Macaca mulatta: one gene and its partner. The protein of the gene in region 1 purifies or fractionates together with the protein of each later gene. This does not show direct contact. Links are inferred from orthologs where the notes say so. Each region holds a gene or a part of one and is shown on either strand. Other genes may lie near its edges.

The links. The genes of interacting proteins can lie anywhere in the genome.
Region 2: the proteins of VDAC1 (region 1) and RAB7A purify together in Homo sapiens (affinity purification with mass spectrometry; 3 studies listed by BioGRID and IntAct, with this or other methods). This does not show direct contact. The link is inferred for Macaca mulatta from reciprocal best matches to the Homo sapiens genes VDAC1 and RAB7A.

The regions. Positions count from the first base shown.
Region 1 is NC_133411.1:142,894,436-142,898,964, reverse strand, and holds part of VDAC1 (non-selective voltage-gated ion channel VDAC1), read left to right. Parts: intron 1-2,220; 5' UTR 2,221-2,226; coding exon 2,227-2,293; intron 2,294-2,885; coding exon 2,886-2,935; intron 2,936-4,092; coding exon 4,093-4,245; intron 4,246-4,339; coding exon 4,340-4,392; intron 4,393-4,529. UniProt on the Homo sapiens protein: Non-selective voltage-gated ion channel that mediates the transport of anions and cations through the mitochondrion outer membrane and plasma membrane.
Region 2 is NC_133407.1:155,150,370-155,154,898, reverse strand, and holds part of RAB7A (ras-related protein Rab-7a), read left to right. Parts: intron 1-3,549; coding exon 3,550-3,768; intron 3,769-4,529.

The DNA.
Region 1 (4,529 bases):
AGGGGTCCGGTCTGCTCTTCTGAGCTCTGCTGTCTGAGTCCCTTGTCCTTGGGTGGTAATCTCCTTAGTGGCCTGGTACTTTAGGCTGATGTTTGCTGTGGGTGGGGTGCTTTTTGACAGGTGGCTGTGCTTGTTGGGTTTTGGGGATTAGTGATGAGAGAGGGCATTTGGGGAACATTAAGTGGATGAGTGTTCTGCCTTTATCCTGAGCGGGGACCAGTCCAGATGTGAAGGCTACTGTGTCTGGGAGGCATCTCTTCTGTGGGGTCAGGGGAGAGTCGTGAGGAAGGCTCTGGCTCCTAAGGTCCAGGGAGGTCTTAGCTGACCCACAGATATTACCACGGGACTGCTTCTCCTCCTGTCTCCCTAGCCCCACCCCGAGCTGAGTTTGTAGCCCAGCTGGGAGAGATAGCACTGAAGGGGGGTGCTTGGTTCACTGATGGTTTGTTAACCCTGTCAGGTGGAGAATGTTCTGGGCCATTTGCTGTTATGTTCTGTGTCTGCCTGGGGTTACATTGCCTCAGCTTTCAATCCAGAGTTGTTCTCCTAGGAAGGGGTCAGGCAAAGGATATTTCTTGAGGATCTGGTGGATGGTTTCCTTGTCTATCCCAGGGGGATGTACCTACAGGGTTAGTTTGGGAGGGAGGAACAGGTGGGGAGAGGGGAGCCCCCAGACTTGAAAGAGCCAGTGGCGGGCAGTGTAAAATGGTTCTTCCTCCTCATCGCTCTATCCTGATCCTAATGTGGGCTGACCTGTCCATGGTTCCAGCCTGATCATGTGCAAGAAATAACATAGCAGCGACAAAAATAGGACAGAGTAAACAGCTTGCTGCTCTTCTGTCTCTGCTCTGACACAAAAGTGAGCTGGGATAAAATTAACAAAGCATCTGGAAAAAGTAAAGTAGGACCTGGACCACAACTTCACAATTTAAAATTGTAGAAGTTTATACTGTTTCTTTTGCAACATACTCAGTGAGTCTGTGGCCTCCTGCAATGCCTTTGAAGTTAAAGCTTTGGCCAAGAATGCAACTTCCATTTGTTATATTGTTCCCTTAGGATCACTTGAACCACTTTTTAGTGGGCTCCCTCCCACTCACCAGGAGCAAGTCATACATGTGTTTACTTGTGTGAGTATATATACATGTAACTTCAGATGGTGTATATGCAGATGCATTTTGATAATTTAGGTATACTGTATTTTAAAACGAATGGTCCTTCTGGTTGAGACTAATGATTCTGGGAATGGAGAAGGTGCAGGAGATGAGGCTTTCTCATGCTTGACCCCCTCTGCTCCTGGGCAGAGCACACAGTGTACAGTCCCAGATGAGGATATTAATCCTGTGTACACAGCATATACAGCATGCCAAAGCAAAGCCTTCCAGGACTGCAGTGTGCTCCTCAGGGCAAAGACTATTTGAGTTACTCTCCTTCCTTGAGCACTGAGGTGCTTAATAAATGTTTGTTGATTGACTTAGTGATATGCAGTAATCCCAAGTAGTCCTTTGATGGTTATTTTTGAAAATAAAGTTACACTGGAGCTTAAAAAAATGTTTGTTTAAATTAATTTATTTGTAGGATGTATTTGGGTTTTTTCCACGTGAACAGCTGCCAAATTGGTTAGGTTTTACTGTATTTCCTATGAGAAATACGAAGTGGGTTCCCATAAAGTCCAAAAGTTTTGTGAAAAGTTGGGCCCATCCTGGCATGTAGTAGGTACTCTATAAATATTTGTTGAATGAATGAAATCAGAGCCACATGGAAAATGATGTTCCCATGAAAAGCTCTTATTTCTATTCGGCGCATTTAATGTCCTAGTAGCTGGCATTTTGTAAGAGGATATGTTTTATTGGCAACAGTCCTAAAATTCAGTAAAGTCATTGGCTCATGGGAATGTGTCTTTGACAGTTTATTCATTAAGCAAATATTTCCTGACTCCTACTCTGTTCTGGGCCTGGGCTCAGTCCTGGGGATGCTGAGGAGGAGAGGTCTAAATTGTTGATCCTCTGTCAACAAAGACTCACTGAGTGTCTCAAGCTCTGGCCACAAAATGAAGTACAAGACAGCAAGGGCTTCTTGGCCCATGTGGGAGGATAAGCTACCTGGAAGTTTTAGTGCTAGGTGATTTTTATTGGTTGCTAATTACATCTAATAATTGTTATTGATGGAAAGCTAATTTCCCTAATTACCAATGCATTTATTCTGGTGATTCTTTTATCATAGCAGAAGATGGCTGTGCCACCCACGTATGCTGATCTTGGCAAATCTGCCAGGGATGTCTTCACCAAGGGCTATGGTGAGTGTTGCAGAGAGCGGGTGCCTTTCAGCCCCCAGACTGAGTTGGCATGTTTGAGACTTTACCGATAACTGTTTAGGAGACCTGGGTAGGTCAGCTGTTCTGACTTTCACGTGAAGGAAAAAAGCAGCTTTCATTTGTGTGGCAAATGAAGCAGTTTTGGTTGTGCCCCCAGTTGGACGGGCTCCTGCATTGATGCTGTCAAGTGGGTATTCCTGTTTTCTCTTCCAAGTGTGGAGCAACCCTGTGGAAGCTGCTGCAGTGGAGCGCGGCTTCTATATTTAGCCTGTGCTTAGGCACATGCCCACGAGGCCTGATGACTGTGTCTCTGCCAGCTGTCAGGCAACTTCTTCTCAAACCCTGCTGGGAGTGCAGGTGGGACCCAGGTGGGCCTGTGCGCATTCTGTCTGCTGCTGTTCCATGGCAGCTGAACTCCCCCCACGAGCAGCAGCAGAGACTGGGTGCCCTCAGCCCGTGTGGCAGTAGTGTACTTCTTCTAAAAAAGCGTTTCGAAGCAACCGTGAGGGAGGCAGAGGTGCTGTTCTCTAGATAGTTATTTAACCTATTAACAGTTGTCTTCTTCTTTCTTTAGGATTTGGCTTAATAAAGCTTGATTTGAAAACAAAATCTGAGAATGGATTGGTAAGTTGTCCAACCCACGTGGAACATGAGTATTTATTTATTTTTATTTTATTTTATTTTATTTATTTATTTTTGAGATGGAGTTTCGCTGTTGTCACCCAGGCTGGAGTGCAATGACATGATCTCAGCCCACCGCAACCTCCACCTCCAGGGTTCAAGCGATTCTCCTGCCTCAGCCTACCGAGTAGCTGGGATTATAGGCGCATGCCACCATGCCCGGCTAATTTTGTATTTTCAGTAGAGACGGGGTTTCTCCATGTTGGTCAGTCTGGTCTTGAACTCCCGACTTCAGATGATCTGCCTGCCTTGGCCTCCCAAAGTGCTGGAATTATAGGCATGAGCCACCACACCTGGCTTATTTTTATTTTGAAAAAAGATTTTAGATTCAGGCTATACATGTACAGGTTTGTTACATGGATGTATTGTGTAACGGTGAGGTTTGGGTTTCTAGTGTACCCATTACCCAAATAGTGACCATTGTATGGAACATGGGAATTTGTTGTAGATCAACAAATAACTGTCATGACATGGCCGGCAAAACCAAAAGAAGGTACTTTTTAAAAAAAATTCTGGCAGTTTGTGGTTTTCACATTCAGTCCATTTTCTACATGATGGGTGGTCCAGGGGAACCATGCCAATAGGCCCCCAATTCAGCAGCGGGTAATACTCAGAGCAGAATGGGGCAGGTCTCAGTTTCAGTTTTCCTTGTGCTTCTTATTTTCACGTTCACCTGTGTTCAACCACATAAGTGTTTTTAAAGTAATCTTAGTAGTCCCTTTTAAATTGTGTGTGCAGTAATTGTTGGAAGGAAGAAGTTTTGGGTTTGAGTTACTGCTGTGTCAGCTTTAGCTCAGTGCTTTTTTTCTGTACCGGGCTGGAGCCAGGATGGAGGGGAGATGCTTTCCTGTCCAGACTGAAGAGTTACAGGGAGGAAGGAAGCTGTCTGCTGACAACGAATTCCCCATAAGATTTCTTTACATAGCAGGCTCCTTTACTCCCATCTGTACTTTAAATATCTATTTGAATTGTAGAGTTAGCCTTGGCCCCGTCACATTCAGGGTCTTGCCTCTTGCAGAAAGGCAAGTGTAGTGTTTAGGAGTGGAGTGAAGCCAGGTGAATGCTGTGGTACAGGTTGTGACTCTCTCTCTCCTTTGAAGGAATTTACAAGCTCAGGCTCAGCCAACACTGAGACCACCAAAGTGACGGGCAGTCTGGAAACCAAGTACAGATGGACTGAGTACGGCCTGACGTTTACAGAGAAATGGAACACCGACAATACACTAGGCACCGAGATTACTGTGGAAGATCAGGTAATGGCTGCTGTGAAAAGACACGGATTTGCTAATTCACATCTGCCGGCCTGCCTTGTGACTAAACCTACTGGCAAATTTCTTTTCTGTTCAGCTTGCACATGGACTGAAGCTGACCTTCGATTCATCCTTCTCACCTAACACTGGGTAAGATTCTCATCTGTTTTCTCCACAAGGATGTCCTCTTATGTTGCAGGTGGTGGAAGCCCTTTGTGACAAAATGTTTTGGGGGCTGATAACACCTAAAATATGGCCTCCAAGACCTGGCGATTTAAGTCCTCTAG
Region 2 (4,529 bases), on another chromosome or scaffold:
TGGTGAAACCCCGTCTCTACTAAAAAATACAAAAAACTAGCCGGGCGAGGTGGCGGGCGCCTGTAGTCCCAGCTACTCGGGAGGCTGAGGCAGGAGAATGGCGTAAACCCGGGAGGCGGAACTTGCAGTGAGCCGAGATCCTGCCACTGCACTCCAGCCTGGGTGACAGAGCGAGACTCCGTCTCAAAAAAAAAAAAAAAAAAGAGGCCGGGCGCGGTGGCTCAAGCCTGTAATCCCAGCACTTTGGGAGGCCGAGACGGGCGGATCACGAGGTCAGGAGATCAAGACCATCCTGGCTAACACGGTGAAACCCCGTCTCTACTAAAAAATACAAAAAACTAGCCGGGCGAGGTAGCGGGCGCCTGTAGTCCCAGCTACTCGGGAGGCTGAGGCAGGAGAATGGCGTAAACCCGGGAGGCGGAGCTTGCAGTGAGCCGAGACCGCGCCACTGCACTCCAGCCTGGGCGACAGAGTAAGACTCCGTCTCAAAAAAAAAAAAAGAAAAGAAAAAAAGTACAAATCATAAAATGTTGAAGATTGATAATAGATTACATTAAACATCTGTATAACAAGATTCCCAGACTAACAAAAACAAACCATACAAGCAGGTGAAAAAGATGTTAATGCCTAATAATATCCAAGCAGTAGGCAACCTGGTGGATGCTAGAATATAGGGAGTTGAACAGCCTCAGGTTGATGGTAGGAGTGTAGTAATGAGTACAGCCTTTTCAGTAGAAACTGCCACTCTGTTCCCCAGTGTTGAACATACACTTATGCAGCAACAGTCTGAGTGTATGGCCTAGAGAAACTTACGTCTGGGCATGACGTCTGAGGTGTAACGAGAGTTACCATTGCAGCATTGCATGGATAGTAGTGAAAAACTGCAAGTAACTCAAATGATCTAGGAAACTAAGTGTAGTCCGTTAAGGCAATGAAATATTATATAACTGTTAACTTTTGGGAGTGAAAAAAGACAAGTTGCAAAAAGCTGTACAGAATGATACTATTTATGTAAGGTATCTCTTCAGGAGCATTTGCTTGTGGTAAAGTAGGAAGAAAATGCAATGGGGGAAGGGTTAATTCTTGGAAAAAATGGATTAAAATAACAGTGTTAATTTTGGTAACATCAGAGTATTGGGTAGATAGTTATAAGGGTATAATTTTAAATGGAGAAAACAAACCATTTTGAGACAAGCAGGTTGGCTGGTTTCCTGTTTTGATGTAGTCTAGAGAAAAAGAACAAAAGCCCCTTACTCAAGCTGTAGCTTACCTAACTTCCAGACAATCAGCAGCAAAAAAATCCCAAGAAACTGTTATCATAAGTTCCTGCTTCATGGGGCTAGGGACCTCCCTGGGGCCCCCAGCATGTGCAGTTAGACTTCAACTTATAGTTACCTTTTCCTCATTTTAATGCTAAAAATCACACCCAGGGTGGAGATTTAACCTGCTAGTGCTACACGCAATTTCTGAAGAAGCATGTTTAGCCACTGTGCATGCGGTAGAGAAACCCCTCCTATATACATACCCTGACATCACCCCTCCCCATAGGAAGGCCCTTTAAAGTTAACTCCCACACTGCTTTCAGAGAACAGCTGCCCCTTTCCTTTTGCAGTGCTAGCTCACTATGCACAAGCTAAATAAACTTTCACTTTCTCTTTGCTATTGTGTCTGATGATCTCTCTTGATTTCTGTCATGGAAGATTCCAAGAACCTAGGTCACTGTTAACAATTTCAATTAAAATATTAAAAAATTTAAAGATCACAGCCAGCCATAGGACTGTACTTGTTGATGTTTTGATAAATATGGCCTTTACTTTTGTAAATTCAAAATTAAATTAATTTTGGTAACTTTCTAGGAACCCATCAACTTGTTGACTTTTCTTTTTGAAAGTATTACTTTGCCTTCTCTGTGTATATGAGTTCCAGATGATGAATTGGTTCCACCTAACAATAACAGAGTTCTTATGTAATTCTGCTTGTAGGAGTCTTCCTGAAAAAAAGCCGTTTGAAATACAGAAAAAGCTCTCTATGCTAATGTTCATTGCTGAGTTGTTTATAATTACAGGAGATTGGCAACAATATTTTCTTAAAAACAGGAATGGATGGTTCACTAAATCTGTTGGGCAGCTGTAAAGTCCAGTGAACCTGCTCTCCCACGTCACCCCATCTGCTGTTGCCAGAGTGCCCTAGTGCGTGACGGGGTAAAGGGGAGGAACGTGGGAGAATGTGGAGAGTGTCACATGTGCAGTCTCCAGTCAGTTATTTGTGTGGAGAAAACCTCTCCACACAAATAACTAGAACAAGACATGAACTCCTTCCTGTGTGGGAGGATGCCAAGTGTTCGTATATTTGTTTGTTTGTTTGTTTGTTTGAGAATGGGGTCATTTCTCCACTGACAGAGATGCATACATATTCAGTGTAGAACATTGGAGAACCAGGAGAGCACATAAATGAGTACCACCAGCAGCCCTGATCCTGTTTAGTCTACATGTGTGGACTTCGTTTATTGTATCTGGGGAAGGGAACATTTAGTGCCCTAACCTGCTGAGAGGCAGTGGAATCATGAGAGATAAATTTGTCTTTTTTGCCCTTCATTCTTATATCTGAGTTATCATGTTTGTCTGGCTCTGTTTGAGTGCCTGTTACGGATCTAGGGCAGTAAATATACCCAGCCTTGCTCTTAAACCTAGCATGGCAGTGAATGATGTGACCAGCTTAGAGCTGGTCAGTAGTACCTGGGAGTTAATCTGGTGTGTGTTCTCATTGTCTTTCTCTTGATCTCTTTCTGTCAAGAGTTTTTCATTTGTTTTTTAATTGAGGTATAATACAAATGAAATATAACATGCTAATCTTTTTTGTTGTTTAGGCTAACTTTTCTCTCTTTTTTTGAGACAGAGTTTCGCTCTTGTCCCTCAGGCTAGAGGGTAGTGGCACGATCTCGGCTCACCACAACCTTCGCCTCCTGGGTTCGAGAGATTCTCCTGCCTCAGCCTCCCAAGTAGCTGGGATTACAGGCATGCACCACCACGCCTGACTAATTTTGTATTTTTAGTTGAGACAGGGTTTCTCCATGTTGGTCAGGCTGGTCTCAAACTCCTGACCTCAGGTTAGCCACTGTGCCTGGCTAGGCAAACTTTTCATACAGTAAAATGCATAAATGGAACTGTATCATTTGTGAGTCATCACCTCACTTCCCTGTATTTCCATTGCTCTCAGAAAGTTCCCAGAGTACCTAAGTTTTATTTACAGTTCAAATTTTACACACTTACCTAAATGTGACCACTACTTGGATCAAGATATAAGAAATTTCTAGCGCCCTGGAGATTGGACTCGTGTCACCTGCTTATAGACAGACACATACTTACATACAATATTTGTGAGGATTGTTTCGGATACTCTGGTGCTGAAATTTGCTTCCTGAAGTCTGGTGTCATTTGTCTTTGTGGGTGACCTCACAATCTAGCCCATTTCTTCTGGCATCCCCTGCATACATGCTCCTTGTGCTCTGCCTAGCACTCTCCCGAGGAATAAATGTTTTGTCTCTCACAGATATGGGACACAGCAGGACAGGAACGGTTCCAGTCTCTTGGTGTGGCCTTCTACAGAGGTGCAGACTGCTGTGTTCTGGTATTTGATGTGACTGCCCCCAACACATTCAAAACCCTAGATAGCTGGAGAGATGAGTTTCTCATCCAGGCCAGTCCCCGAGATCCTGAAAACTTCCCCTTTGTTGTGTTGGGAAACAAGATTGACCTCGAAAACAGACAAGTAAGTACCAACGATGATAGATATTGTCACAGACACTTGCTCCCAAGGGGCCTTGTGAATTTGGAGGGTTCTCTGCTAAGCTCACATGGCTCTAGGAGGTGCTGGTGGGAGTCTTCATCACCCTATGCCAGCCCTTCAGGCCAACTGCCTTTAAGGACTGGGACCCAGGTGACCTGGGTTAAGTCCCCATCCTGCTCCCAGCTGGCTGTGACTTTACGCCATTGTCTTGGCTATCTCAACTTCAGTTCCCTTTCTGCACTTTGAAGGAGGGAATTCAGTTTTGTCATTCTCAGTAGTGCCCTCCCAGTACCTCCAGGCCGTGCTTGGATCTCCATGTGTGCAGAATATTGCTTTGGGCTTTGAGTGAAATTGCTGTACTATAGTTATAGTTTCAAATATCATTTCTGTTGGAAACATAGACTCTTTGATTAATTACGACTACGTTTATTTCTGACCATGGATCTTTTTTCCTCCCCTTCCTAAGTGACTTAGTCCTTATCTCTTGGCTGAAAATGGGCTAGGGGTTGGGGAAGGAATGAGAATGTGAGAGTGGCATGGGTGACATCACACTAGCAGTAATGGTAAAGGGACTCTAAACCTTAAGACCAAGCTGCTGGGCATTTCCTGTCCTGGGATCTCTGAGGTCCCAGTAAACACTCTTCATTTCTTCCCAGACTGGCTTCTTACTCCATTCACAAATGGCTTTTAAGTATAACTGAGGGTCAGAAGGTATGAGCTGTAGACTGAGACAGGCTTTGAGC